Linked DNA regions of Macaca fascicularis. The protein of the gene in region 2 purifies or fractionates together with the protein of the main gene of each other region. This does not show direct contact. Links are inferred from orthologs where the notes say so. Each region holds a gene or a part of one and is shown on either strand. Other genes may lie near its edges.

Region 1 (4,108 bases), about 14 Mb from region 2:
CCGGCAGGGAGATCGAAATAGGGCACGTTGGGGACCAGGCTGGGGTCATCGTGGTTGATGTGGGGCGGGCCCTGTCGCCGCATGTGTGGGGGCTGCCCGTTGAAGCCGTGGGGGGGAGGGCCGAAGTCGGGGTGCTGGGGTCCAGCCCAGGGCGGGTGCTCGTTGATACCAGGATGAGGCATGCGATGGCCAGGGTGGTGGTGAGGGGGGCCCATTTCTGCAAAACAGAGACTTGTCTCAGGTCCACAGGCCAGTCAGGATGTCCTAGGTGACAAGTGCTGGAGGGGAGGGCCTCAGTGAGGGGCCAGGAGGCCAGCCCTCCCGGGAGCCTGCCCAGCACCTTCTCTCACTGCTCTAGACCAGGCAGCCAGGCAGGGAGGAGCCAGGCTCTGAGGGGCCTGTCCCGCACCCATAGGCACAGCCGAGAGAGCTTGAGGCTGAGGGAAGAGAACCACAAAACCCCCAAACTGCAACGTGAGGGCTAAGTTGTGACCCTCCGAATCCATACGCCGAAGTCCCAGCCCCCATAGCTTAGCTCAGGACGGAACTGTATTTGGAGACAGGGCCTTTAAAGACACAAATGAGTTAAAATGAAGCCATGGTGGCCCTAATCCAATGTGACGGGTGCCCTTATAAAGAGAGATTAGGACACAAACATGTAGAGAGAAGACGGTCACCTATGAGCCAAGGAGACAGGCCTCCAAGACACTAACCCGAATCTGCCACACCTTCACCTCAGACCTCCAGCCCCGAGATCCTTAAGACAAATACATTCCAGCTGTTTAAGCCATCCAGGCTGTGGGACTTTATCATGTCAGCCCAAGCCAAAAAGTAAAAGCAATAAATGTGCCTAGCGGTCTCCAAACTGCATTTATAATCAGGAATGTCTTTAAACATACAATGCTGGGCACGGTGGCTCACGCCTGTAATCCCAGCACTTTGGGAGGCCAAGGCGGGTGGATCACTTGAGGCCCAGAGTTTGAGACCAGCCTGGCCAACATGGCGAAACCCCGTCTACTAAAAATACAAATATTAGCTGGGCATAGTCGCTGGTGCCTGTAATCCCAGCTACTGAGGAGGCTGAGGTGGGAGAATCACTTGAACCTGAAAGGAGGCTGCAGTGAGCCAAGACTGTGCCACTGCACTCCAGCCTGGGTGACAGAGTGAGACTCAGTCTCAAAAAAACAAACAACAACAACAAAAGGCCAAGTGTGGTGGCTCACACTTGTAACCCCAGCACCTTGGGAGGCTGAGGTGGGAGGATCACCTGAGGTCAGGAGTTCGAGACCAGCCAGGCCAACATGGTGAAACCCTGTCTCTACTAAAGGTACAAAAAATTAGCCAGGTGTGGTGGTGGGTGCCTGTAATCCCAGCTACTCGGGAGGCTGAGGCAGGAGAATCACTTGAACCTGGGAGGCAGAGGTTGCAATGAGCTGAGATTCCACCACTGCACTCCAGCATGGGCAACAGGGTGACGCTCTGTCTCAAAGAAAAAGAAAAAGGAAAAAAAAAAAAAAAAAGGAAGCACTAAAAGATTAGAAATAAATTGAATGAGCCGGGCGCGGTGGCTCAAGCCTGTAATCCCAGCACTTTGGGAGGCCGAGACGGGCGGATCACGAGGTCAGGAGATCGAGACCATCCTGGCTAACACGGTGAAACCCCGTCTCTACTAAAAATACAAAACATTAGCCGGGCGAGGTGGCAGGCGCCTGTAGTTCCAGCTACTCGGGAGGCTGAGGCAGGAGAATGGCGTGAACCCGGGAGGCGGAGCTTGCAGTGAGCTGAGATCCGGCCATTGCACTCCAGCCTGGGCGGCAGAGCCAGACTCTGTCTCAAAAAAAAAAAAAAAAAAAAAAAAAAAAAGAAATAAATTGAATGAAAAAGATACTGGGCATGGTGCCTCACATCTGTGGACCCAGCCACTCCAGAGGCTGAGGTGGGATGACTGAGAGTAGCCTGGCCAACATAGCAAGACCCCATCTCTATTTAAACTAAAAGATAAAAAATTTTTTAAGGCCGGGCGCGGTGGCTCAAGCCTGTAATCCCAGCACTTTGGGAGGCCGAGACGGGCGGATCACGAGGTCAGGAGATCGAGACCATCCTGGCTAACACGGTGAAACCCCGTCTCCACTAAAAAAAAAAACTAGCCGGGCGAGGTGGCGGGCGCCTGTAGTCCCAGCTGCTCGGGAGGCTGAGGCAGGAGAATGGCGTGAACCCGGGAGGCGGAGCTTGCAGTGAGCGGAGATCGCGCCACTGCACTCCAGCCTGGGCGATAGAGCGAGACTCCGTCTAAAAAAAAAAAAAAAAAAAAAAAAAAAAAAAAATTCTTTAAAAAGAAAACTTTTTTTTTTTTTTTGAGACAGGGTCTGTTGCCCAGGGTGGAGTACAGTGGTGCGAGCATAGCTCACTGCAACCTCAGCCTTCTCTGAACAGCTAGGACCACAGGTACCCGATACCACTCCGAGTGTTGATTTTTAAAACGACCTAATAAAACGGGAAAATGGGGCGGGGCACGGTGGCTCACGCCTGTAATCCCAACACTTTGGGAGGTCGAGACGGGTAGATCATGAGGTCACGAGATTGAGACCATCTCGGCTAACACGGTGAAACCCCGTCTCTACTAAAAACACAAAATAAAATTAGCCAGGCGTGGTGGCGGGCGTCTGTAGTCCCACCTACTCAGGAGGCTGAGGCAGGAGAATGGTGTGAACCCGGGAGGCGGAGCTTGCAGTGAGCCTCTGCCACTGCACTCCAGCCTAGGCAACAGAGCGAGACTCCGTCTCAAAAGTAAATAAAATAGGCCGGGCGCGGTGGCTCAAGCCTGTAATCCCAGCACTTTGGGAGGCCGAGACGGGCGGATCACGAGGTCAGGAGATCGAGACCATCCTGGCGAACACGGTGAAACCCCGTCTCTACTAAAAAATACAAAAAACTAGCCGAGCGAGGTGGCGGGCGCCTGTAGTCCCAGCTACTCCGGAGGCTGAGGCAGGAGAATGGCGTGAACCCGGAAGGTGGAGCTTGCAGTGAGCTGAGATCCGGCCACTGCACTCCAGCCCGGCGACAGAGCCAGACTCCGTCTCAAAAAAAAAAAAAAAAAAAAAGTAAATAAACACACAAATGGGAAAACTGATGCAAAAAGCAAGCAGCAGCAGTAAAAAGAATGAGGCCCCGCCCTGCACTAGCCACGGCCACCCACAGCGGAAAGCTTTTCCTACTGGATCTGCCTCATCTGCAGACAGTGCACACAGCTCCTGGGGCGGCTGGGAGGAGGGGACGGAGTTGCATCTCTGCAGCCAGCCTGGCCTAATCAGGGCGGCAAGGCACAGTCTGTGTCCCCACTTCCTGAGAACCCGGGCCGGGCTCTTCGGACGTTCCATGACCCTGTGCCTGTGTCACTGTGCACTCGGGAGCATACCAGGACCACAAGCAGTGCTACCAGCCTGCTCGGCAGGCCAGCCGTGGGTGCCTCCGCCAGGCCCTACCCGGGCGCCCGCACACTCACCGGCAGGGAAGTCCCCCTGGGGGTAGTCGAAGCGGTGGGGATAGGGCGGCCGCTCGAAGGGGTGCCGTGGCGGGAAGTCGTCCTGCATGAAGCGGGGCGGGAAGCGGTTGAAGTTGTGGGGGTGTGGAGGCTGGTTGAACTGCGGGTGCTGCTGGTGGGGCGGGAAGGGCCCCCGGAAGTGTGGGGGCCGCTGCATGCGGAAGGGCGGCTCGCGCTGGCCCCCGCCCCAGGGCGGCTGCTCGTGCTGGCTGTTCCAGGGGCCCTCGAACTGGCTGTTCCAGGCCGGGTCAGGCTGGTTGTTCCAGGGCGCGTCGCGCTGGCCGTTCCAGCCAGGGTCACCACGCTGCTCGCCCCACATGCCTTCGTGGCTGTTGTTCCAGGGGGGGCAGTGGGGTGGGCCGCCCTGGTGGTGCGGGTAGGGCGGCTGCTCTGGCGGCTGCAAGGGAAGGGACAGGCGTGAGCCCTGCGTGGTCTGGGCCCAGCGCTTCACAGCATCACAGCGCTGGCTCAGACCATGGAGGCGCTGCCCTGGCCACGTCGGGGATCCTCCTAGGCTGATGCCTGCGGCGATGCTGGGCACCAGCCCTCAACCCGGACCACATGCTG
Region 2 (2,789 bases):
TGCTGTCCCCACCCAGTGCCACCAGGCACAGAGGCTCTTGTGGGCTGCCTGGCGGCCAGTCCAGGTCTTCTCGGAAGATGAGGCCACCGGTGCCCACAGCTGGTTCTTCTGCTCTGAGGGCCTCAGTCCCCAGCAGAGCCCCCAGGGCAGACAGTACCAGGGTCAGACTGGTGAGAGGCAGGTCCCGCGTCATGGGTGCTGCCAGGAGCTGGGCTGCCCGCCTTGTGGAAGCCGAGTGGAAGGTGGGGTGTTTGTAAAGGACAGGCCCCTATCTCCTCTGCCGCGACCTTGGGGGACAGTGCCCAGCGCCCCCACTCCAGGCAGAGTGGCCTTCTCAAAGAGCCCTTTCTGTCGCCAGCAGCCTATCTCCCTCCCCACAGCGATAGAGCTGGGCCTGATTTGTCAACATGCTGTCCTTGAGGGCCCGTCCCCAGAAGGCACAGGAGTGGGAACCAGGCTGGGAGTGATGGCCAAGCAGCCAGACTAGACAGCGCTGGGGGCGGGGGGCCCAGATGTCCTGGGTGCTAAGGGGTGGGCCTGGAGGAGGAGGGTCCCAAGTCAGTGGGGGCGCCCTGTCCCTGCTCACCCTCCCAACCCCTGGTAGGCTATCTGGAGACCCCAAGGATATCACAAGAGTCTGCTCTTCCCTCCCCAGGACAGGACCCCAGACCCCCTCCTAGCTGGCTGGTGGAGTCTGTCCTCCACCAGGCCACCTCCAAGGTACAGCTGTCTCTCAGGCCTCCCACAGGTGTCTCCCGGCAGGCCCCAGGCCCTCCCCAGTCGGCGCAAACTCAGGGATGGTGCTGTGCCTGGCACTCCCACACAGCACTGACAAGGGAGGGCGGCGCTGCAGACATCAGTGCACTCGGGGCTGGGGAAGGCTGTTTAATGAGCAGGGGGCGGTACAAAAGAGCAGCCTTCTCTCGATGGCAAAAGGCAGGAGCACCTGGCGCTGAGCTTGCTGGGGGAGGGAGCAGCTTCTCAGTTGGTTGGGGGAGGGGGAGGTATGTTCCCTGGGCCTTCGGAGGGGAGTGGGGGCCTCAGCATTGGGGGCATGGGAGTTGGGGGGTGTACCCCAGGATTTGAGGGGTGAACTCCAGGAGGCTGAGGGTGGACCCCAGGAGCTGATGGATGGACCCCGGGAGGTTGGGGGTGGACTCCCGGGGCCTGAGAGTGCATCCCTGGGGCTGGTGGGTGCACCCCCGGGGCCTGAGGGTGAACAGCAGGGGCTGCTGGGTGTACCCCTGGGGCCTGGGGGTGAACCCCCGCTGATGGGGGAGGATGGACCCCCGGGGCTGGTGGGTGAACCCCAGGGGCTGGTGGGTGGACTCCAGGGGCTGGTGGGTGAACCCCGGGGGCTGGAGGGTGAACCCCGGGGGCTGGAGGGTGGACTCCGGGAGCCGGGGGGTGGACCCCAGAGGTTGGTGGGTGGACCCCAGGGGCTGGGGGATGGACGCCAGGAGCTGGGGGATGGACCCCAGGAGCTGGGGGATGGACGCCAGAGGTGGGGGGATGCACCACTGGGGCCGGGGGGTGGACCCCTGGAGCTGGCGGGGGTAGCTGGGGTGGTCCCGGGGGCCCTGAGGGTGCAGGCCCCGTGGGGGGCATGGGTGGCAGAGGTAGGCCTCCCGGCGGTGGCGGTGGCAAAGACTCGGGCAGCGGTGGCCGAGGGGGCAGACCATTCATCAGCGGAGGTGGAGGCCGCTTCACCCCAGGGGGGCCGGCGGGGAGGCTGGGCGGAGCCGGGGGCTTCTCCATCTTAAAGTGGAACTGGAGGAAGAACTAGAGAGACGGAGAAAGGTTCAGCAGGCACGGGCAGGGCTAGGGCCACCGGGGCTGGGCAGGAAGGAGCCAAGCTCAGGGCTAGCCACTCACCTGCTTGGTCTCCCGGTTCCAGTGTGTCCAGAACTTGCCCTCCGCCTTGTCAATCTCTCTGCTCGGCACCTGGGAAGGCGGGGGACAGAGAGGGCTCCTGGTCCCTGTGACCTCAGGGTAGCCATCAGGCAGGGAGCCTGAGGCGTTAGCCTCCCCGGCCCGGACTCCACCCTGGGAGCCCAAGAGAAGGCCCCGGCCTGGTAAGACTTTCGATGGGCACAGGGTTCAGTTCTGGAGTGACACAGACCCGGCCTCCACGCTAGCACACGCTAGCCCCCGCCCTGGACAGGCACCGTTTGTATTGTTTCCTGATGGCTGCTTTGTCCAGGCGTAGGCACAGGCTGTGGGAAGCCCTCCAGCAGCCTAGACCAAGAAGCGAGGTCACTTGGCGAAGGCCTCACAGGCCCAGCGCTCAGCCCTGCCGGCCTCCCTTCTCCATGGGCACAGTGGAGCCCAAGCAGGCCCCCTCCTGCAAAGCCCAATGGGAGGGGTACCCTGCCCAGCCTGCACAGACCCTTCTGGCTCCGTCTCGGGGATCCCAGGGGACCCCACAGCCTGATAGGAGGGGCGCCCTGCCCAGCCTGTGCAGATCCTTCTGGCTCGCACATCTCAGGGGGCCCTGGGGCCCAGGGGACCCCGCAGCCATGCTACCTTGAAGGCGATGGTCTCATAGGGCTCAGCAGCCATGAGCAGGTACTGCCAGCGCCGGTCCGGAGGCTCAATCCTCTGCTCGTACGCAGACATGAAGCGGTGGCGTGGCATGATGCCCTCGGCGATCTCAGGGTAGTCGATCTGTGGGGACACAGCCGGGTGGCAGCGCCACCTTTCAGGTGCCTTCGGCCGCCCCCCACACCCAAGCCCCTGATCTCACCTGGAAGAGGAGGCTCTGCTGGCCCATCTCCGAGTCCCTCTGC
Region 3 (4,560 bases), on a different chromosome or scaffold from region 2:
CTGTGAGGGCAGGCTGACATAAACAAGAACTCAGTGGTGGTAGGGCCCATGCTTCTGCCACAGCACTTCGGTGACACTCTAAGAACCAGAACTTCCACCTACTTTCTACCAGTTTTATCACCTATCAAATGAGAAAAATCATCTCATTCCTATGATTACATGAATCAAATAATATTATGAAGAATTAAAAAACAGTCCTCAAATCTTGTGCAAACGTGAGAGACTATTATTATTATTTACTACGTAGGGGCCCAGAAGACCACCTCCCCCCCTCGGGCATTCCATGTTCCGCAGGGTCCTCAAAAGGTGGTACAGGGTCCTAGTTTCTTCTCCAGACTCCAGGCCTGGCAACCGTAGATGCTGTCATGTCTCTGTTGCTAAGAGATGGGAAGTGAGGCCTCAGGAACTGGGCCTAGAAGGCTCAACAACGACCGCGCCCCCTAGTCACCTTGTCCTCACCTTGAGGAATGGAAAGACACCCCACGGGAGCAGGGAATGCTGTCCTCAAAAAGAAGAAAGAGGTGCCTCCGCTCTTCACCCGGCCGCCGCTGCTTGGGCCCACGCTTCTTGCGAGGCGGGGACAGGGCCAGGAAAGCTGACTGTGCCGGGGACGCCTTGACCTAGGGCACCAGAGGAGCGGACACGGGTGCCGGGCCCACAACCGGAACAGGTACACGAGAAGTTGGCCCTAGGTCGGGCCCGCCTCGCCCTGCCTCGCCCATAGCCGCCGGCACAGTAGGAGGCACCCCGCCCCCGTGAACCCAGAGGTCCCTGAGCTCGCTCACCTGCAGCCGAGTCACCAGTAGGCTGTAGGGCGCCATTTTGTGCACTGACAAAGATGAGGTCGCATGCAAGTGACGTCCCAAACGGCGCCTTTTAAAGCCTTTGGGCAGGGGCGTGCCCGGAAGAGTGGGGCGTCACGGTGAAGGCGAGGCCTCCCTAGGGGCACCAGAACCCTGGGAACGCAATGAGCGGAGCTCAAGAGTAATGAACAGACACGCAAGAGGAAATAGAACTGCCTAAAGACACTTGCAGAAGTAGATACCAAGCACAAATATGTTTTATCCAAGAACAAATTTTAGTTATCTCTGCCATCCAAATCTGGGAGTGTTTTTAAGACTTTCATGCACCTGCCAGGACCTGGCCACACAGCAGCGACAGAAACTCGCGCGAGAGCAAGAGGGGCCTGGTGCAAGGATCGTAAACTGACGGAAGCTTAGAGGACCAATCACAGCGACGTGGAGGCAGGAACAATGGGAAATAAAGGTCGGACGGAAGTTCCGGAAGCTTCCGGTGGCCGGCTTAATTGGGAGCTATGGCTAAACATCATCCTGATTTGATCTTTTGCCGCAAGCAGGCTGGTGTTGGTGAGACTGCGCCCTGCCCCTGTCTGTCTGGGTAGGGGTGGTATTAGGAGCTGGGGGGTCGGGGGTTCCCATCACTTCCTTAGTGGCTTGCCCAGCTGGCGCCACGTTTCCCGCCTCTCGGGCGCGGGGTGTTGTAGGAACGCACAGGTTTGTGGCCGCTGATGAGAAGAGGGCGGGGGTGCGCGTGCTGGGAGCCCCAGGCAGGTATCGGGGGTGGGGTCTGGGCCAGGTCCACAGAAACTCAGAGCTTGCCCCAGGACGTTGGAGGAGATTCAGAAGGGTGGTTGGGCTGTGGGTTTGGTTCATTTGGAAATTTGTAATGATAAAATGGCTATCCGCAGGTATCACTGCAGTCCGTACTCATGTCCCTACCCCCAGCTCGAGGATGTACTTCCCGTTTGTCAAAACCTTTATTCTAATTGTACTTTTTAACCATCTTTCATCTTGCAGCCATCGGAAGACTGTGTGAAAAATGTGAGTGGAACCTTCCGTCCCAACAGCCCACCCTTCCCACTCCCAGTTTCTGTGGAACCAGCAAAAGTGCCACAAAGAGGGCTTTGAGTAGATGTGCCTGGAAGTATGTGAACACTGAATGCTGGACTTCAACCAAAGGCCCCTCTGTCTCCCCACTGCCACTTGCACATTTAACGCTGTATCTCTCTAGTTTTCAACAGGAAAAATTGCCAGAGTAGCATGACCCCTCCCTAATACACAGCACTTTGCCGGCAATTATATAGGCTTATCATCTCTGAGGTGATTTTCTAGGCTCTTTACATATGTTAATTGATAAACTTTTGTATATGTTGAGGGACTTGAGATGGATACTGGGTAAACCAAGTTTCGTGATGCCAAGAGGAGGGTCCTAAAGTCACTGTCAAAAGGAGACTAGTGTATTTCCCCATGGCAGGAGATAGCAGAGGACTGAAGAACTTGTTGTGAGTATGACTCCATTCTCTTCCTTACAGGTGATGGCAAGTGTGTGATTTGTGACTCCTATGTGCGTCCCTGCACTCTGGTGCGCATATGTGATGAGTGTAACTATGGATCTTACCAGGGACGCTGTGTGATCTGTGGAGGCCCTGGGGTCTCTGATGCGTATTATTGTAAGGAGTGCACCATCCAGGAGAAGGATGTAAGTGTACAGCTTTCCATCTGACCTTTCCTGCTTTTGTTTCCTGCTTTTTTGCCATCCACTGCAATCTCCTATGGTCTATGGAGATTACTGTGTTCATCTAGTCATCTAGGTTATAATTTTTTCAAGTTCTGTGAGTCAAACTGGGTGTAGTTCAATAAAAGGCAGTTATTTTGCATCAAGGGGAAAAATGCAAGGGAAGCAAATCTTTGTCAAGACCAGCAATTTGAAGAGCCCTCTCTCTATTCATGTTTCTCTGTGATTATTTTTATTCAGAAATGACATCCGGCTGGGCGTGGTGGCTCACACCTGTAATCTCAGCACTTTGGGAGTCCAAGTTAATGAGGATCACTTTAGTCCAGGAGTTCAAGACTAGCCTGGGTCACAGAGCAAGATCCCATCTCAAAAACAACAACAAAAAACAATTTGGTTTTTTGGTTTTGTTTTGTTTTTTTGTTTTCCTTTTTTTTGAGACAGGGTCTCTTGCTCTGTGGCCCAGGCTGGGGTGCAGTGGCATGATCACGTGCAAGGCTCACTGCAGCCTTGACTCCCCCGGGCTCAAACGATCCTCCCACCTCATCCTCCCAAGTAGCTGGGACTGCAGGCATGCGCCACCACACCTGGCTAATTTTTTTTTTGTAGAGACAGGGTCTTGTCTTGTTGCCTAGGTTGGTCTCAAACTCCTGGGCTCAAGTGATCCTCCTGCCTTAGCCTCACCAGGTGCTGGGATTACAGGCATGAACCATCACTCCTGGCCAGAAAAACATATTTTTCATTAGTCGGGTGTGCTGGTGTGTACCTGTGGTCCCAGCTACTTGGGAAACTGAGGCGGGTGGAGGATCACTTGGGCCCAGGAGGTCAAGGCTACAGTGAGCCATTTTCATGCCACTGCACTCCAGCCTGGGTGACAGAGACCCTGTCTGTTTATAAGGCCTGTACAGCCCATGTTGTGTCATAGCCACTCATTAACGTCTCAGATCTATCATTAAGCACTATTCGGGTGTATATCGTGACAAAGTTGAATTTGGGACGATTCAAGTTGACTTCAGCTTTAAGCAGTTAACAAGTACCTTTGGTTTAATATTGCAGAAGTGATTGTGGCCCTGCATCATGACTTTTTTTTTGTCCCTTGACACTGCGTAGTGGCAGTGGTTACTTACTATTCAACTCTCTGAGCCAAATGCCAGGAGAGAGAGCTTATAGACCAGTGCTACAGGCAAGGTTTACCCCATTTCTTTCGTTTAGTATTGGCAGCAGGGTTTTTGTGGGGGAAAACTATGAATCAGCATGTTTTCTTCAAAAAACAAAACAAAAGGAAGTATGATACAGTCTCACTAGGTTAATGATAGTACCCAGTTATCTAATTTATTTATTTATTTGTTTTTTATTTTTTGAGACGGAGTTCACTCTTGTTGCCCAGGCTGGAGTGCAGTGGCACAATCTCGGCTCACCGCAACCTCCGCCTCCTGGGTTCAAGCAATTCTCCTGCCTCAGCCTCCCGGGTAGCTGGGATTACAGGCATGCGCCACCACGCCCAGCCCATTTTGTATTTTTAGTAGAGACGGGGTTTCTCCATGTTGGTCAGGCTGGCCTCAACTCCCAACCTCAAGTGATCCGCCCACCTTGCGTCTCCCAAAGTGCTGGGATTACAGGCCTAAGCCACTGCGCCTGGCCCAGTTACCTAATTTAATTCTAATTTAGAGTAAGGCAAAAGATACATAATTCTTCATATTTCCATGAGCAAAGAATAGGTCTTTTATAGATGTTATCACACCTTGTTCCTCACAATAAGTTTGAGAAATAGGGATGATTATTATGATACCCATTTTATAGTTCCTCTGACAAGCCCAGGCTATTCAACGAAACCTTGTAGTGTCCCCATTTCACCATGTTGTACTTTTATTTATATATTTATTTTATTTTATTTTATTTTTTGAGACAGAGTTTCGTTCTTGTTGCCCAGGCTGGAGTGCAGTGGCGCCATCTCGGCTCACCACAACCTCCGCCTCCCGGGTTCAAGTGATTCTCCTGCCTCAGCCTCCCGGGTAGCTGGGATTACAG
Region 4 (4,606 bases), on a different chromosome or scaffold from region 2:
TTTCTGAATTATAGACAGGATAGATGGTATCCCCACAGGTTAAGAATATTCTCCAATTTTTTCCTTTAATCTCTACTGTGACCTTCTCCACATTCTAAGAATCTCTGCCATCATTATACTACCATTTTTATTTCCTATAAGAAAAAAGTCATCAACCAATGTCTCAGTATTCCCACGAGGATAAAAACTTCCATTATAATACTGGTACAGCCATTAAATACTGTATGACCACACCTAAGTCCTGCCAGCAGGGGCAAAAATAACACATTTTATTTTTCTATTTTTAAAATTCACACATACGTCTGACATTTCTGATAATACCATACTCACCTTGATTGGCAGGGTACTGTTTATGAACATATGAATCCGTTGCATTCTGAGGACCCTTCTCTTTAAGATTTTCTTTCAAAGTAGGCATATGCAACACAGGACCATACTCATTACGAAGCTTGATTGCCATCTTCCGTTTGTGACTATTTAGAAATTATAAACATAAGAACGTATCCATAAATACTTTAAAACAAACACTTAGACAGCTTAAGTTTGCCCAATCATGTAGGAAAAGTTTCTAGTAAGATTTTAAGTAGTATTTAAAAGAATCAAAAATTTCCAAGTGCATTTCCCCACCATATCTGTTCTTTTGCTCACATTCCACCACACAGCATTCATTAAACCTAAGTAATATTTTAGTTTGTTACCTAATAGAAAATATTTTATGATAAATTATCAAGGGTCTGCTTGAAAGATATATAGAAACTAACATACCCTTTAAGAAACCTCAAAGTCAATACGCTTTCCTTCAAAATATAAATATAGTAAAAACTCTACAGCAACCTTTACTAGATGTATCCAAACAGGTTAGTTAGAACTAAGAAAAGTACTTAATTGGTTCAATATTTTAAAAAGAAATGCACTTATATTACTTTTAAAAATAGTCTACTTTACAAATTAAATATAAATGCTTGTTTGAGGAGTTAAGTCGATTTTAAAAGGGTAAAGGACAAAGAAGGAACACTGCACATAATGCAATCCCAGACTGGAGCTGGATATGTAGAACCAAAAATATGCCACCACTCAAAAATCTTCATCATACTAACGAGAAAAGATGGGAGTAGAGGTACTGGCCAGGTACAATTTCAGCTCAGCAAGGCTCTGAGAGCAGCGGGAAGCTGAAAGCACATACAAAGTGATTGATTATAAAATAAAATACCTAAAAGGGACTCTCTTAATTACTGGGTATTTGTAAAATGCAATTAATTAATGGAACTTTTACTGTAAAAGGCCAAAAAAAAAAAAAGTTAAATCAGCTTAAATTATGCCAAAACACCACTCATTATTGAATTAGCCCATGAGTATTGCCAGTTTATCTTTAAAGGTCTCCCTCTTCCTGCTCTCTTCCCCCAGTATTAGAATGTTAAATATTTCAGCAATTGAAAAAAAAACTATACCAACCTCTCTTCATCTAAAGGCACAGGTTTTCCATTATCAGCTACAAACATGTCATGGGTCCTCTTCAATGACCTGAACACAAGTGTGTGTACAGAATGTTTCTGTACCTCCTTAAAAAAAAAAAAAAAAAAAAAAGTAATTACACACCTATCTACAAATTACACAAATCATAACCTAACGTCAGATTGATTATACACTTCACATGTTTAAATATGTAAAAAGCTTTATACCACTCACCATAGCTACTTGTTGCGAGCTACAGGAGTCAAGTTCAGAGAAGAGGAGGAAGCTCCTCTTTGGCTAGAACCTCAGGTATAGCAACTGAGTGATGCCATAGTTTAGTCATTTACTCAATAAATATTTACTGAGCTCCTACTGTGTGTCTGGCAGGTATCGTGCTAGAATCTCACAATAGAATGATAAAAGGTAGTCATGGTCCCTGTGCTCAAGAGGAAACAGACAAATAAAAAGTAAAATAATTCCACATTTTGATAAGTGCTATGAGGGCAACAAGCAAGGCACTGGGTCGGGAAACGAAGGACTAAGTATAATTGTGAAAGACTTCACTAAAGTGATATTTAAGCAGAAAGGGAGTTAGCCTTGCACAAAACAGAGATAAAAACGAACCAGGCTGATGGAAATGTCATGTAAAAAAATGTTCAGTTAACTGAAATAATACAAGAAGGGCGGCACAGCTGTATATGGTGGATGAGATGGTGCTTTGTGGTTGCAAGGGTAGACAAGGTCCAGATTAGGTAAGGTATTTTAGACTATTACAACAGCCTATGTTTTCTTCTAGCAACACAGTCAGTAAAGGGTTTTAAACAAGAAAGGTATGAACAACTTACATTTTAAACAGAACAACTTATGGAACAAAATGGAAGCAAGGAAATCAACGGGGGGCTAATGCACCAGGCCCGGTGAAAGATGATGTTGGTCTCAATTAAGGTGGACTGCAGTGGATACGGAGAAAAGTGAATGGAATCAATAAACATGTGGGGTAACATGGACAAGACCAGCTAACAGAATGGCTGGCTGTTCATGCCAGGGAAAGATGTAAAGAATGGCAAGTTTTTCTGGGAGTAGAGTTGAAATAAGAGACGACTTGAACGCAAGATAGAGAAGACCGCCAATCTTTTCGGGCACAGAATCACTGACACTGCCCCGAGGGCGGCGAGTACCAGTGGTCGAACACCAACAGAGGCCCCGCCTCCAAGGACAGTTTCCAGCTCCCAAGAGTCAAACGAGGACTGGACGAATTATCTCAGGCTTAGCGCCCGGACTGAACCTCCGACTCGGGTTCTCATCCGGCTTCTACCCCTTCCCCGAAAACCCGATGAAGAGACCACCCGGCCTTGGCCAAACAGCTTCCCTCGTAGCCTCTTTTCTCTCCGGACTCCAAGCACTCTCAATCCCCCAAGCCCACTGCCAAAGAAAAACAGTCCAGAGACAAACGACTCTTGAGAGTCCCAGTGTCACTTTACCTCGACCATGATGCTACCGCGTATCCCACCTCCGGCAGAGAAGAAACCCTAATCACTAACGCAGTACCCGCCGCCACAACTGTGCTGCACCTTCCGGAATTGGGAGGCCAGGCGGCGGATGTGATGCAAGCTCTGCGCACGCGCGCTAGTCTCCCCCGGCCCTCTGGGATCAAGAGGCGGGTCTCCCTCCTCAGGACCGCCCCTAGGGCGGAGGCTCGAGGCTGTAGAGGGGAGACACCTGGAAGCGCCTGACTGGAGGATTTCACTCGCTCCTCTGAAGAAGTCTTCGAATTATGTTTTCTGCCTTACCTTCAGCCTTCAATGTCTTGGCTGGGGCCCTGGTTGTTCATGCTGTATTCCCCGGAGTTTAATGCTTTTTATTCAGAGAGCCTAAGCTCTCTGGAGAGCAAACTCCCGTGGGCTCTATCTAAGGCGCTTCCGCTGCCTTGATCTCTTTGGAGGTCGCCTGCTTGCTTTCTGTCTCCTGGTTCCAATCCTGGCGAGAAGCACTTGGACACTTGTAGGCTTAACACCTGAAAACAATTTCGCTTAAACAGTTCAGTAAACACTTGCTGAGTGAATGTTGAGGAATGGCTGTTTTAATTTGGAAAATTTTGACATGTAGATATAAGAAAAACCCATATTCATTTTCTGCTAATAGATTTTTTTTTTTTTAACTTCTCAACGCTACATAGCTCTTGGACATTTCCTAGTTGTCTGCTGATTATTGTGGCTTCAACAATGCCAGGGTACAGCTTTTCAAAGCTGGTAGAAGAAAGACACAATTGGAGACTTTAGCCATTTTTATTTATACATATCCTTGTGCCAAGTATTGGTATTTTTGCTTCCTACCCTGGTAAAATCTCCGGTTTTGATCAACCCTACCTAATTATTTTTCTATGTAAAAAGAAAAATGGATGGACTTGGGCATTTGCAAACTTAAATAGACAAAACATTTTACTGGCCCTGTTTCAGTTTCACTGATCTGTCCTGACAGCGTACTGCATACACTTTGAGAGGGGGAAACAATCTAGCAAAAGAATAGCAGTGTAAATCAACGTCACTTGGAAATTCATTAAAAACATTAAGGTCATGGTTTTTTGTTTGTTTGAGAGGGAGTTTTGTTCTTGTCGCCCAGGCTGGAGGGCCATGGCGCAATCTTGGCTCACTGCAACCTCCTCCTCCTGGGTTCAAGCGAGTCTCCTGCCTCAGCCTCCGGAGTAGCTGGGATTACAGGCGCCCGCCACCACGCCCGGCTAATTTTTGTATTTTTAGTAGAGACGGGGTTTCACCATGTTGGCCAGGCTGGTCTTAAACTCCTGACCTCAGGTGATCTGCCCCTCTCGGCCTCCCAAAGTGCAGGAATTACAGGCATGGGACCCCGCGCCCGGCCTTAAGGTCATGTTTTTGCTTGAAGATAAAACATCCCTGAATTTGACTGTGAGTTTGTCCTAAGAACTGATTTTCTGTAAAAGTGGCCGGTGATGGTATTTCCTTGCAAGAAAATACTATAATTAAAAAATATATACTTGAGGAACTAAATAATATACTCACCTATGAATAATAACTATAGAAAACAATGATTTGAAATGACAATAAAACCATAGAAACCTAAGCAAGACTAATATCTATGGAAAATATTAATTGTCTGGTTGGACCTATTAACTTTTTAC
Region 5 (4,858 bases), on a different chromosome or scaffold from region 2:
GCAGTGGCTGGATCTCAGCTCACTACAAGTTCCACCTCCCGGGTTTACGCCATTCTCCTGCCTCAGCCTCCCGAGTAGCTGGGACTACAGGCGCCCGCCACCTCGCCTGGCTAGTTTTTTGTATTTTTTAGTAGAGACGGGCTTTCACCGTGTTAGGCAGGATGGTCTCGGCCTCCCAAAGTGCTGGGATTACAGGCTTGAGCCACCGCGCCCGGCCTCCTTGTACAATTTTTATGACAATGTATAAACATCTTCCTCATAGAAGGGCAGGTAGTTTACATCTCCCCAGCTGCCGAAGTGGAGCACCTGGTACCCAGCAGGATGTCCCAAGCTGAACCCAGACCTGAAATGTGACAAATTCTGATTCTCATGTTTTATAGTCTAATGTCAACCTTGCAAACAAAGTGATCTCTTAAATAAACTGACTTTTATGCAAAACTAAACGTCCCCTCAAACTAGTTTTAAAAAATCACACAATTGGCTGGGTGTGGTGGCTCATGCCTGTAATCCCAGCACTTTGGGAGGCTGAGGCGGGTGGATCACGAGGTCGGAAGTTCGAGACCAACTTGGCCAAAACACAGTGAAACCCCGTCTCTACTAAAAATACAAAAATTAGCTGGGCATGGTGGCACGTGCCTGTAGTCCCAGCTACTCAGGAGGCTGAGGCAAGAGAATCACTCAAACCCAGGAGGAGGAGGTTACAGTGAGCCCAGATCGTGCCACTGCACTCCAGCCTGGGCAACAGAGTGACACTCCATTTCAAAAAATAATAATAAGGTGCCAGGAAAAGAAACGTAGCCTCGTAAGTGTAGACAATGAAATGAAAAGCGTAGACACGGGTGTCAGCAGACAAGTCTCAACTGACACCTATGTTTGCAATTCGTGCTCAGTTTGGTCTTCGTACACTATCACTCTATAACTGAAGATTCTCAGCATGATTTAGAACTAAATCCTTAGCCCTCCGATTCATCAGATGGGTAAGCTTGCCTAAGGAATGAAGTAACAAGTACCCGTCATCCCAACTCTGTTGCTTTCTGCATTTGGCAGATGATACTTGATAAATATTTGTTGATACATGACAAAAATCTCATTACTTGAGGAACTACCTGTTGCCTACCAGAAAGGAATTGAAAATAAGTGCCCAGGAGGAGGAGGTTGCAGTGAGCCAAGATCGTGCCACTGCACTCCAGCCTGGGCAACAGAGTGAGACTCCGTCTCAAAAAATAATAGTAATAATAAAGACTAGGTGCTACCTCCCTTCCAAGCAGTCCCTCTGGGAGGATGCACAGACTCCAATGGCACTGCTGAAATGCAGAGCATTTGGGAACCTTCTCATTTCGAATGACCTTCCAAGCCTGAAGAAGTCTTCTGGTGTTCTCCGTGGTGGCAAATCTTCCTCCTCTCAAGCTAGTCTCTGATAAGTGCTGCAAGTCAGAGTCTCACCTGATAAGGTAAGTTACCAACCACATAAGACAACTTTTGGTCAAACCTGGAGGGTGACTACTGAATAAAACTGATTTTCCCATATGACTACATTTTTACTACCAAAACAGGAGTTCTAAAGAGGTTTTGGCAAAGAAGCACCAATGAAATACAAGCACAACATTTTGGGACAGTTATTTTCAACAGAGCAGTCCCTATTTGAATGCCTGAGTTCTGGAACATCTGGTTAAAATTCTGACTCATAACCTCACGGGCTTACAATATCTAAATGAAAGTTATCAAGGTTGGTGACAGACCCCACTCGCAAACTGACCAAGCTTGACCACTAAACTGCTTGATAAGGAGGTACTCACCTTGAGATGCTCTGTAGCCGTGACAAAATACAAATCTCTTGAAACACGATCTAGGCCACAGGTTAACTTACCTGTTTGCTTTCTGGAGTGACTCCACAAAGCTTTCTTACAACATTTCAGCATGTCCCACCTAAAATGGGAGAGGAGTTTCCGGCTTTGGGACACATTTGACCGGTTCCAGGGCTGGCTGGGTTCCATACTGCCCTTAGATAGTAAAATTATCAGGCAAAGACTCTCCTCCCAAGGCTGGGAAGCGGGATTCAGCCGAGGTCAAGGCTCACCAGGAGAATCTCAACAACTGAACGGGAAAGGACCACTCTACAGACAACAAGCTGGAAGTGAGTCTCAGGAGAAATGACGAGCGCCTTGCTACACCCCAAACGGTACTGCAGATGCCAAACACTCTCTTCTTCCATTTTCCCAAACGGGTCTGAAGAATGACCTACCCTTGCAAATGAGTTAGCGGAACAAAGCTCATTTAAAACGGCCACTCTAACCGGCAAACTCAGCTGTCACAAAGTAGTCAGGAAAACTTAATTTTTGGCAGGAGCAAGGCTGTAAGTTTCGGTTCTTCCAGCATTATATCTGCAGTTAGTTTATATAAAGGACCCAGCACCTCTGATCTCCTGATCCAAGGGGCAAGGAAGTTACATACTCCTAAGAGACCGGCGCGCGTCTTGGGGCAATCACCACGTCCAACCTGTGCACACTCTGAAGCTGCGGCGCAAGTTCCAGGAGGCTCATGAAGAGCTCAAAGTTCTCCGAAGAGCCCAGAAACAGCAAGGGCTGACCTATTCCGGAGGTTAACCTGGGCGCCTCTCACCGCCCCTTAGCGGGCGGCACACATGTGCCACGCGAGTGGCCCGGAAGAGAAATGACAGCTTCAGGAAAATAAACTCCGCCGCGGGGCGCGGAGGCAGCGCGCGAGGAGCTCAGGCGCTGAGGGCGCCCCAGGACCGCGGGGCCGCTTACGGACGGAACGCGGGGTGGTGCCTGTCTCAAGGTCCCCCTCCCTTGGCCCAAGGGCCAGTCTTCGGTCGGCGGGTCCGCACGGCCGGAGGCGCGCCAGGGTCCCGGGCCTCACTCCCGCCGCCGCCGCCGCCTCGGCGGCCTCCTCCTCCCGCCGCCGCCGGCCCGGCCTCCCGCCGCCCGCCCGGCCCCCGCTAACCTCAGCGCTAGGACGGAGAGGGGGCCACGGCGCTGCTGGAGTCGGAGCGGCGTGGAGAAGACGTCCCTTGGCCCTTCCGTTCCTCACAGGCTCTGGCTCCAGGCTCGACGCGGGCGGAACAAACGGGCTCCACTACCCGCGGGGGCCGGCCATTGTGCGACGTCATCAGGCCGCGACGGTCGTCCTACGGCCGGCGGGCTTCCCTCCCTCGCCCCGCCCCCTCCAGTTTCCTTCCGGCCTCCGCGCGGCTCCGCCCCCGCGGCGCGCGCCCGGACGCGCGCGCGCCCGCTGAGCCCCCGCTACAGCGCAGGCGCCACAGGGAGTTCGCTCCTCGGGAGCGGGAGTCCGGCTCAGCGCCTGCGCACAGGGCTCCCCGTGGCCGCCGGGTCACGTGACGGGGCTCTGGCTCGGCTGGTGGGTTCTTCATCCCTGGGGGATGATCGAGTTCAACGCGGAAAACTTAAAGCGGTTTTCGTCGGGCTGATATCTCCTGCTTTATTGAATGTTGATATTAAATGCTTAGCTCCGGAATTATTTTTTCAGGTATCGACTTTAGATTAAAAGCCTAACAATTCTTACCTCTCCCATGGGCTGCCCAGCTCCCCGCGCGGTTCAACGCGAGCAGCGCCAGCAAGGGGACCTGTCCCGTGTCCTGCTCATCGCGGCGTCCCCCGGGCGCGTCCACAGCCTGGGACGTCCAGGGGCTGCAGCGGTGCGAGCTGCTCTAGAGACGGAGGGCCCGGCCCAAGACCAGGGGCCCACGGTTTCATCCTGCACTGTCCCCTGCCAACGATGTGGCTGGTCCTGGGGGTCACAGGACTTCGCCCACCCCATCTTCCTCCATATCCCCAGGGTGGAAACAAGGGAGCGAGATGTGGAGGAACTGATGAACAGACAAAATGCGGCCTGTCCATGCAGTGGAATGTGAGTCAGCCATCCAGAAGAGTGAAGTTCAGACCCGTGCCACAACGTGGGTGAACCTTGGAAACATATTAAGTAAAGCAAGCCAATCACAAAAGGACAAATACTGTGCGACTCCATGCTATGGACCGAGTTCTGTCCCCCTAACATTTGTATGTGAAGCCGTAATCCCCAATGTGACTGTGTTTGCAGAAAGGGCCTTTAGAGAATTAAGGTTAAATGAGATTATAAGGGTGGGATCCTGATCTGATAGGATTCCTGTCCTTGGAAGACGTACCACAGACGTGGCCCTGTGGCTCACGCCTGTAATCCTAGCACTTTGGGAGGCCAAGCTTGGAGTACCACCTCCTCCAGGAGTTTGAGGCCAGCCTGGGCAACAAAGCAAGACCCCTGCCTCTACAAAAAAATTAACAGGACATGGTGGTACATGCCTGTGATCCCAGCAACTTGTTATGGTTATGTAAGAGGAGTGTGAATTCCACCCTGGTGATTTTGGTCGTGTCAGGAGCAGCCCTGTAACGCGAGTTGGCGCCTTCTGTAGGCTTTATGTGTCGGTAAGACAGTCCCACCCAGCAACGGCCAGTTGACAAACATAAACCTGCATGGACATTACCATCCATGCAAAGGAGCAGCCGGCACCGGCTGTGACCGACACGTGCCTGGCTGCGATCTGAGTTTCATGAACAGTAAACTCTGTTGATCACAGCCTCTTTGGAAAACAATGTCAGTTTAAAAGAAGAAGTGCCCTGTGACCAGCCGTGCTACCCTCAACAGGGTTCTTCAAGTGGGGCCCAGGCAAGCAGCCTCAGTATCACTAGGGGTTGTTAGGAATGTGCTTTCCTGGGTCCTGCCCCAGAATGGCTGCACCAGCGACTGGGAGTGGGGCCCTGGGGCCCTGTGGTCCGTGAAGAGCTCTCAGGGGATTCTGATGCCTGATGGCACAGGTGGGCCACCGGACTGCGGTGTCATCTGC
Region 6 (4,108 bases), on a different chromosome or scaffold from region 2:
TTAGTATTGTTGTGTTCCTTCATAAAGGTTGAGGATATGATTCAGGAAAGCTGAAATTGTTAGCATATTCTTGATAGGAATTGATGCAGATAGCATCTACAAATTTTCAGCGTCTAGTTGTTTCATCTTTTTACCTTAATAAATGTGATTTTAAAGTGTTGCAGGTAAAAATTAATGGTTTTATTCCTATTTATAGATTTTTGATGAAATTGAGTCATGAAACTGTAACCATTGAATTGAAGAACGGAACACAGGTCCATGGAACAATCACAGGTACGGAGGTTGGACTACTTTTATAACATTTTTTTCTTCTCTTTTACCTGCTATCCAGAGTTTATTTTTTGATTGCTTAATGAACGTTATTGTAGTACAGATTCTTATTCTTTTGTCTGAATTATGTAATTGATTGATTGATTGATTTTTTTATTTATTTATTTTTTTTTGAGACGGAGTCTCGCTCTGTCGCCCAGGCTGGAGTGCAGTGGCGCGATCTTGGCTCACTGCAAGCTCCGCCTCCCGGGTTCACGCCATTCTCCTGCCTCAGCCTCCTGAGTAGCTGGGACTACAGGCGCCCACAACCGCGCCCGGCTAATTTTTTGTATTTTTAGTAGAGACGGGGTTTCACCGTGGTCTCGATCTCCTGACCTTGTGATCCGCCCGCCTCGGCCTCCCAAAGTGCTGGGATTACAGGCGTGAGCCACCGCGCCCGGCCTATTTTTTTTTTTAAACAGAGTTTTGCTGTGTCACCTGGGCTTGAGTGCAGTGTCATGATCTCGGCTCACTGTAACCTCCGCTGCCTGGGGTCAAGCAATTCTTTTGTCTCAGCCTCCCGAGTGGCTGGGACTACAGGTGCCTGCCAGCATGCCTGGGTACATTTTTTTTTTTTTTGAGACGGATTCTCACTCTGTTGCCCAGGCTGGAGTGCAGTGGCACAGTCTCAGCTCACTGCAACCTCCGCCTCCAGGGTCTGATTAATTTTGGTAGAGATGGGGTTTTGGTCTCGAACTTGTGACCTCATGATCCATCCGCCTCGGCCTCCCAGAGTGCTGGGATTTCAGGCGTGAGTCAAGTCACTGCACTGGCCTAATTTTTGTATTTTTAGTAGAGACGAGGTTTCAGCATGTCAGCCAGGCTGATCTTGAACTGGACCGGGCTGGTCAGAAGACCTCAGTTGATCCGCCCGCCTCGGCCTCCCAAAGTGCTGGGATTACAGGCGTGAGCCACCAAACCTGGCCTAAGTAGGTCTTTAGTTATCCCATTAGTTCAGGTATAATTTGGTAAAGGCTTCAGTATTCAGGTGTTTCAGCTATAATGTCATATAATCACCCTAAAAAATTGCTTTGTATTTTGTAAACTCTCATACTAAAAATAGTAGCTTAATGAGAAGAATAGGTGTTGCAGACTACTTAAAAGCCTGTGTAACTTTGTAATCAAAATATTCTTAACAAAAGTGGTAACAATTATTACATATAGAGAGAAGCAGAAACAAAGGTGAGGATAGTTTAGTGGAATGGGGATTATGAGAAAGTCACAAAGACAGTGAGAGAAACATTCAAGAAATACCTGTCAGATCAGTAGTGAGCCTGAAGCCCAGTCAGGGTTCTTCCATTGCTTGCTGCATTCATTTCTGTAAGCAAAACTTAGTGTGCTAGGAAAAATCTCTAGGAAGGAAACACTGCTGATTTATACTGACGTTATTCCCCCATTTACCAGTTGCATATGTGCTAAATTATGTCATAGAAAACTTGCACTGTAGCAGAACAGTATTCTTTTGTAGTCCAGTATTTACTGTGGCTCAGTAGATTAATTAGTTGCCTGACTTTTATCATACTAATAACTGCCCAATTATTTTCTTTTTAGGTGTGGATGTCAGCATGAATACACATCTTAAAGCTGTGAAAATGACCCTGAAGAACAGAGAACCTGTACAGCTGGAAACGCTGAGTATTCGAGGAAATAACATTCGGTATTTTATTCTACCAGACAGTTTACCTCTGGATACACTACTTGTGGATGTTGAACCTAAGGTGAAATCTAAGAAAAGGGAAGCTGGTAAGTTTGAAGGATTATAAAAATTTTTGTGAATGCTAATCCTAATCCACACTATTCATAATATAAATATTTGCAAACAACACAAGTGTCTTTGTTTTTTAATATTTCTTATAATGTGTATTATAACTCCTGGTGTTGCTATTAAAAACATTGATGCGGCTGGACACAGTGGCTCACGCCTGTAATCCTAGCACTTTGGGAGGCCGAGGCGGGCAGATCATCTGAGGCCAGGAGTTCCAGACCAGCCTGGTCAACATGGAGAAATCCCATCTCTACTAAAAATGCAAAAAAAAAATTGGGCGTGGTGGCGCATGCCTTTAGTCCCAGTTACTTGGGAGGCTGAGGCAGAAGAATCACTTGAACCCGGGAGGCGGAGGTTGCTGTGAGCCAAGATCATGCCACTGCACTCCGGCCTGGGCTACAGAGTGAGACTCTGTTTCAAAATAATAATAATAATATGGTTGTAATCCATAGCTTGTAAAACAATGATTTAACCTCTCATGCTGTGTATCATGCTGCTTTCCACTTTGCAAGAACCCCCTGTGGGTACCAAAATCTACAGATGCTCAAGTCCCTTTTCATAAAATGGTAATAGTGTTTCCATCTAACCTCTGCACATCCTTTTGTACACTTGTAATACCCAGTATAATGTAAATGCTTTGTAGATAGTTATATTGTATTGTTTAGGCGTTAATGACAAGAAAAAGTCTGACAACCATCATAGGCCTAAAGTTGGTTAAATCCATGGATGTGGAACCCATGGATATTGAAGGCTGACTGTATTTTCAAATCTGAGGACTTTTTGCCTTAATGTCTTTAGGGTTATTCTACTTTTACTACCTACCTACCTGTGAGGGAATTGATGATTGAAAGCCCCCTGCCTCGTATCATCTTACTCCACGCTGAGAAGTTATTCTTCCTTTACTAAATGTTACAGTTCCAAGTCTATTTTCTGATTTAAAATTTTGTTGAAAAAAATTTTTTTGTTTTCTTTTTTTTTTTTTTTTTTAGATGGAGTTTCACTCTTGTTACCCAAGCTGGAGTGCAGTGGCGCGATTTCAGCTCACTGCAACCTCCGCCTCCTGGGTTCTAACGATTCTTCTGTTTCAGCCTCCCAAGTAGCTGGGATTATAGGTGTGTGCCACCGCACCCAGCTAATTTTGTATTTTTAGTAGAGACGGGGTTTCATCGTGTTGATCAGGCTGGCCTCATACCCCTGACCTCAAGTGATTTACCTACCTCAGCCTTCCAGAGTGCTGGGATTACAGGCATGAGCCACCACGCCCAGCCGAAATCTTTTATCTACTATGTTTTCTCTGCTTTTCTTTGTTCTTCTGGGTACTTACCGTTTTTGTTCCTTTTCTATCATAAATACTATTTCAGAAGAAATTGGAGATAAGTGTGGTCAATTTGGTTCATTTTAACATGCGTCCTAGACTTACTGTTTTTGTGTGTACACATTTAAAATAATATAGTTTAAAATAACTGAAATTGGCTGGGCGCGGTGGCCCATGCCGTGAGCTGAGATCGTGCCATTGCACTCCAGCCTGTGCAACAAGAGTGAAACTCTGTCTCAAAAAAATAAATAAAATTATTTATGCCTGCCCCCCACCCACTCCCCACTTCTTAAAAAGTTGTTTTCTTAATTTATCTTTCTTTTATACAGATATGCACCACCAAATCTGGCTAATTTTTTAATTTTTTTGTAGAGACAGGGTCTCCCTGTGTTGTCCAGGCTAGTCTTGAACTCTTGGTCTCAAACAATCCTGCTGTGGCCTCTCAAAGTGCTGGGATTACAGGTGTGAGCCACCATCATACCTGGTCCATTTTCTTTTCTTTTTATTTCTTTTTTTTTTTTGAGACAGAGTCATGCTCTGTCGCCCAGGCCTCACTACAACCTCTGCCTCCCGGATTCAAGTAATTCTCCTGCCTCAGCCTCCCGAGTAGCTGGGATTACAGGTCCCCAGCCCTTTTATTGTTGTTGTTGTTGTTGTTTTTTACAACACTGCTCCAACTCTGTTTTTCCCCCCAATTTAACACTTCATTTTGAAATAAT
Region 7 (4,108 bases), on a different chromosome or scaffold from region 2:
ATTTTCTGCCCAAGTCTCTCACCATCTTTTCCTCCACGAGCCTTCATCTCTCTACCTCTGTTCTGAAAAAATAAAGATGAGCCTCAGGATTCCTGGCTTCACAAAACAGAAGTGGCAGTGCATCATATGATCAGGATGGCCTTTGTTCTAGTGACGGCGGGGCCAGCCCTCTCCCTCTGGCCACACTCGTCATCGTCCCCCTGCTGGCATATCAGGATCAAGACTGGCCACGTCTGATACGGACGGGGCCAGTCCTTTCCCCCTAGCCACACGCTTCCCTGGGGACATACCTTTCTCTGTGGCGTCACCCACGATGATCTTGCCGCCACGCTTGCTGGTCTTCTCCACTGACAAGGCGGTGCTCAGCCCCTGCTCGTGCTTCCCCAGACCCTGGCCCTCCCGGAAGCCGTACTTCTGCATGATCTTGTGCGCCACCGTGCCCCTGGCAGGAGGAGAAGGGAAAGGACTCTTAGCTTGGACATCGTCAACTGGAGACAGGTTGCATTTTTCCATCATAACCACCTCCTTCTGGAGAGAGTGCATGCTCCACAGGGGTTTCAACAAAGTCACTCATTAACTAGGAGTGGGCTATCAGATGGAAGCTATGGGGATGTGCAGCATGAGAGAAACAGAAAAGGCTATGACTAAAATCCAGAATATTCTGTTGTCTTGGAGGAGAAATGCCAGTTTCTCTGGTGGAGTCTCCTCAGTGCCCTGCTAGGAAACACAAGACCTTTTGTGTGCTCTGGACCTGCACTGCCACATAGCTTGTAACCACAGTTTATTAAAAAGTGGCTATCAAAAAGTAAGTATGAAGTTTCATATAATGAAGATGATCCCATTTCCTGAATGGCACAGGAGAGTTTCCAATGACAGACTATGTAAATGAAAGAACCCTTAGAGATCACCTATTTAACAAATGAGAAATAAACGGAGGCTAAGATTAGTTGACTAGCTTAAGGGGTGGACTTAGAAGTAAAGCAAGACGCCACATTAGAAATTATTTGTACAGGCCGGGTGCAGTTGCTCACGCTTGTAATCCCAGCACTGGGAGGCCGAGGTGGGTGGATCACCTGAGGTCAGGAGTTCAAGACCAGCCTGGCCAACACGGTGAAACCTCACCTCTATTAAAAATGTAAAAATTAGCCAGGCATGGTGGTGTGCACCTGTAGTCCTAGCTACTTGGCAGGCTGAGGCAGAGAATTGCTTGAACTCGGGAGGCAGAGGCTGCAGTAAGCTGAGATTGCACCACTGCACTACAGCCTGGGCAACAGAGTGAGACTCCATCTCAAAAAACAAATAAATTATCTGTACAGCTGTTAATGGTAGAGCTGAAACTGGACCCTACAACTCTCAGTCCACTGCTTTCTGTAATAACCAAATGGCTCTCACACTGTGCTGTGAGGTGTGGTATGGGGCTGAAGGGCACCCCCACCCCATGACCACTGCTGCTTAGGGCTTAAGCCACAAAACTCTGCTTCAACTGGAACTGCACCTACATTACTTCTTGTATTTAATTCCCTTAACATGTTCATTTGAACAAGCTATTCTAGGGCTAAAAAGACCAAAAACTGCTGAATGGTACCACCTTGCATCTTTCCTAAGCACAAGTTAAAGATGTAATTCCTGGTTAAAAGCAAATTCAGTAAAAAGTCAATTTCTATCATAAACAGGGAAAACAAAACATAACCAGCTTCATGTCTGTCCAACCCTCCAGCACACAAAGCTTCCTGCAGCCACAGCCATGTCCTATGTCTGCACCATCCAACATGGTCACCACTTGCATGTGGTCACTGAGCACTTGAAAGACTAGTGAGTTTCAACTCCACTGGCTGTCTCACCGGCTGCATTTCCGCTACAGGCAGCAGCCGGCAGATGCAACACAGCACAGAACAAAGCGTTCGTGTGATGCCACTTCATGGGACAGCCGTTTCACAGGATCAAAATCAACACCATAGAATATCCTCTTAACCAAAATGTTTGCCAAGCCCAGTACAGTTTAAAAAAATCCTCGGCCGGGCGCGGTGGCTCAAGCCTGTAATCCCAGCACTTTGGGAGGCCGAGACGGGCGGATCACGAGGTCAGGAGATCGAGACCATCCTGGCTAACATGGTGAAACCCCGTCTCTACTAAAATATACAAAAAACTAGCCGGGCGAGGTGGCGGGCGCCTGTAGTCCCAGCTACTCGGGAGGCTGAGGCAGGAGAATGGCGTGAACCCGGGAGGCGGAGCTTGCAGTGAGCTGAGATCCGGCCACTGCACTCCAGCCTGGGCGGCAGAGCAAGACTCCGTCTCAAAAAAAAAAAAAAAAATCCTCAAGCCCCACCTGAGTGTCAACCTTACAGTCAACTTTTATATGCTGGCAAGCAAATGTCTACTTGTAGTTAGAATGACCCTGAGAACCATGACCTTAAAGCAAATGGCCCACTTTATCAGGGAAAAAAGTATCACCTGTCCTTTGCAGATAGTAAGTCAACTCTGATTCATATGAGCTATTTTATTTGCAAATGTCATGAAAACAAATGTAAACAGTTATCAGGTTCTGTACCTGTCTAGAAAAATAATGTTCAACATCAAAATGAGTCAAAACTTCTACTGGAAGGTTGCTGTTTTGAACGAGCCCCATCATTACACTGGAATACGCTCCACATGATTGAGGCAGGCACCGTGTGACCTGCACACACCAAGAGTCTCCCCACAGCCTGAATGTCCTCAGTTTCAAACAAGCGGCATCTGTTGAAAGGGCTATCAATGCTTCACACTGTCTCTCAAGTCCTTAGATAAGAACATTAAATCATTACCCCATGTTAGCGAGGAAGGAGTTGCTAGGCCCAGTTGGAGATCTCGGTCTGTCTTGTTCCTCGTACACTGGGGGAGGAATGGCAGCTTTGGAAGACTGTGATCGAGGTCTTGAGTCCTCTTCATAAGGAAAATCTCGGGGTACTATTGGAGAAATATAAAGTAGTCTCACCAAAATACTATAGAAAACCCTCTGAAACCTCACTTGTATCAATTATTTATCTCGAACAAATTTAACCTACTTTTTGGTTTACCACAAGGAGAAAAACACCAAATCAATTTTACAGCCTTTATATGACTTTTTTTTAAAACCAGAGGAAAGTCACTATTTTCCTGATTCCAGCTTTGCTTTTGCTATTTCTATCTCCTCAAACGTCCTTTTTATACTTTACTGAAATGTTATTTACCCTTTAAAATCTCATTGAATGAATATTCTTGCTGGAAAGAGCTTCTGTATGTTCCAAGGAGATACAATCAGGCCATCTTTTGACTCCCGCAGCACCTTGTGTGCACCTGTCTAGACCCTGACCTATCTCATCAGCCTCACAGCCCACAAAGGTCTCCGAGGTTAGGGGCCATGCACTGGAGCGGTGGCTTCAACCCTAGTTACATGAAAGTCAGCAGGAAGCTTTAAGACCATCCAGATGCCTTGAGCCCCACTCCCAGTGACTGGTTTCAATTGGGGTTTATTGTTTGTCCGTTGTTTTCACGTAACAGGCATTTCATAACATCTTAGAAATTATCTTCTTTAAAAGATAAATAAAATCCAACAAGTTTTAAAAAGTACTATAAATGAGAATATCTGCTTGGGATAGTTTAGGTATGGTCCAATCCAGAGAATGGGAAAATGACCTAGATGATATTCAGAAGTCCAATCCCAATCCCCAAATTCTAAGGAACAGTGGGCGAGGGTGTTTTGGCAATACAATGACACGCAAACCCAACTGCACTGAAATGGAAAGGGAAGAAAAAAATCTAATCAAGGAAGGCATTGCCACCTTGTGGAGGGTCATGAATATAACAGCCTCTAAACCTCTGAGTTAAAAAACTGTAATGATCTGCTGTTTTAACTCCAAATGAATCTAACAAGTAAGATATGTTAACGAAAACAAAGTGAATTGCATAAAAGAGATGGATTCCACTGCATGAAATCCAAGCCTCAGAGCCTGGCATAGAAAGGTCTCTGCAGGAGGGAGGGCACTGCATTCTGAGATCCAGGTGCAGCCTCAGGTGACAGAGCCAGGCAGGCTTGCAGGTCGTTTCCCTCTACACTCAGGAAACCTGGTGCCCAAGCTGAGATCCCCCGTGA

Evidence for each region.
Region 1: the proteins of SF3A2 (region 2) and CHERP purify together in Homo sapiens (affinity purification with mass spectrometry; 3 studies listed by BioGRID, with this or other methods). This does not show direct contact. The link is inferred for Macaca fascicularis from reciprocal best matches to the Homo sapiens genes SF3A2 and CHERP.
Region 3: the proteins of SF3A2 (region 2) and PHF5A purify together in Homo sapiens (affinity purification with mass spectrometry; 5 studies listed by BioGRID and IntAct, with this or other methods). This does not show direct contact. The link is inferred for Macaca fascicularis from reciprocal best matches to the Homo sapiens genes SF3A2 and PHF5A.
Region 4: the proteins of SF3A2 (region 2) and PLRG1 purify together in Homo sapiens (affinity purification with mass spectrometry; 3 studies listed by BioGRID and IntAct, with this or other methods). This does not show direct contact. The link is inferred for Macaca fascicularis from reciprocal best matches to the Homo sapiens genes SF3A2 and PLRG1.
Region 5: the proteins of SF3A2 (region 2) and ZC3H18 purify together in Homo sapiens (affinity purification with mass spectrometry; 3 studies listed by BioGRID and IntAct, with this or other methods). This does not show direct contact. The link is inferred for Macaca fascicularis from reciprocal best matches to the Homo sapiens genes SF3A2 and ZC3H18.
Region 6: the proteins of SF3A2 (region 2) and SNRPD1 purify together in Homo sapiens (affinity purification with mass spectrometry; 4 studies listed by BioGRID and IntAct, with this or other methods). This does not show direct contact. The link is inferred for Macaca fascicularis from reciprocal best matches to the Homo sapiens genes SF3A2 and SNRPD1.
Region 7: the proteins of SF3A2 (region 2) and RBM17 purify together in Homo sapiens (affinity purification with mass spectrometry; 4 studies listed by BioGRID and IntAct, counting the BioPlex papers as one, with this or other methods). This does not show direct contact. The link is inferred for Macaca fascicularis from reciprocal best matches to the Homo sapiens genes SF3A2 and RBM17.

The regions. Positions count from the first base shown.
Region 1 is NC_088393.1:16,859,690-16,863,797, forward strand, and holds part of CHERP (calcium homeostasis endoplasmic reticulum protein), read right to left. Parts: intron 3,939-4,108; coding exon 3,503-3,938; intron 218-3,502; coding exon 1-217. UniProt on the Homo sapiens protein: Involved in calcium homeostasis, growth and proliferation.
Region 2 is NC_088393.1:2,906,272-2,909,060, reverse strand, and holds the end of SF3A2 (splicing factor 3A subunit 2), read right to left. Parts: coding exon 2,747-2,789; intron 2,668-2,746; coding exon 2,527-2,667; intron 1,945-2,526; coding exon 1,876-1,944; intron 1,783-1,875; coding exon 982-1,782; 3' UTR 871-981; downstream 1-870. Other genes in the region: AMH (muellerian-inhibiting factor), read right to left, coding at 1-193. UniProt on the Homo sapiens protein: Component of the 17S U2 SnRNP complex of the spliceosome, a large ribonucleoprotein complex that removes introns from transcribed pre-mRNAs.
Region 3 is NC_088384.1:10,143,521-10,148,080, forward strand, and holds the start of PHF5A (PHD finger-like domain-containing protein 5A), read left to right. Parts: upstream 1-1,286; 5' UTR 1,287-1,315; coding exon 1,316-1,367; intron 1,368-1,817; coding exon 1,818-1,841; intron 1,842-2,332; coding exon 2,333-2,499; intron 2,500-4,560. Other genes in the region: ACO2 (aconitate hydratase, mitochondrial), read right to left, coding at 786-821.
Region 4 is NC_088379.1:159,465,523-159,470,128, forward strand, and holds the start of PLRG1 (pleiotropic regulator 1), read right to left. Parts: upstream 3,029-4,606; 5' UTR 2,943-3,028; coding exon 2,934-2,942; intron 1,560-2,933; coding exon 1,453-1,559; intron 1,170-1,452; exon of another isoform or gene 1,098-1,169; intron 474-1,097; coding exon 331-473; intron 1-330. UniProt on the Homo sapiens protein: Involved in pre-mRNA splicing as component of the spliceosome. Component of the PRP19-CDC5L complex that forms an integral part of the spliceosome and is required for activating pre-mRNA splicing.
Region 5 is NC_088394.1:84,469,117-84,473,974, reverse strand, and holds the start of ZC3H18 (zinc finger CCCH domain-containing protein 18), read right to left. Parts: upstream 3,129-4,858; 5' UTR 2,965-3,128; intron 1-2,964.
Region 6 is NC_088392.1:68,135,991-68,140,098, reverse strand, and holds part of SNRPD1 (small nuclear ribonucleoprotein Sm D1), read left to right. Parts: intron 1-196; coding exon 197-273; intron 274-1,860; coding exon 1,861-2,052; intron 2,053-4,108. UniProt on the Homo sapiens protein: Plays a role in pre-mRNA splicing as a core component of the spliceosomal U1, U2, U4 and U5 small nuclear ribonucleoproteins (snRNPs), the building blocks of the spliceosome.
Region 7 is NC_088383.1:7,058,544-7,062,651, reverse strand, and holds part of RBM17 (splicing factor 45), read right to left. Parts: intron 2,944-4,108; coding exon 2,802-2,943; intron 443-2,801; coding exon 291-442; intron 1-290. UniProt on the Homo sapiens protein: Splice factor that binds to the single-stranded 3'AG at the exon/intron border and promotes its utilization in the second catalytic step. Involved in the regulation of alternative splicing and the utilization of cryptic splice sites.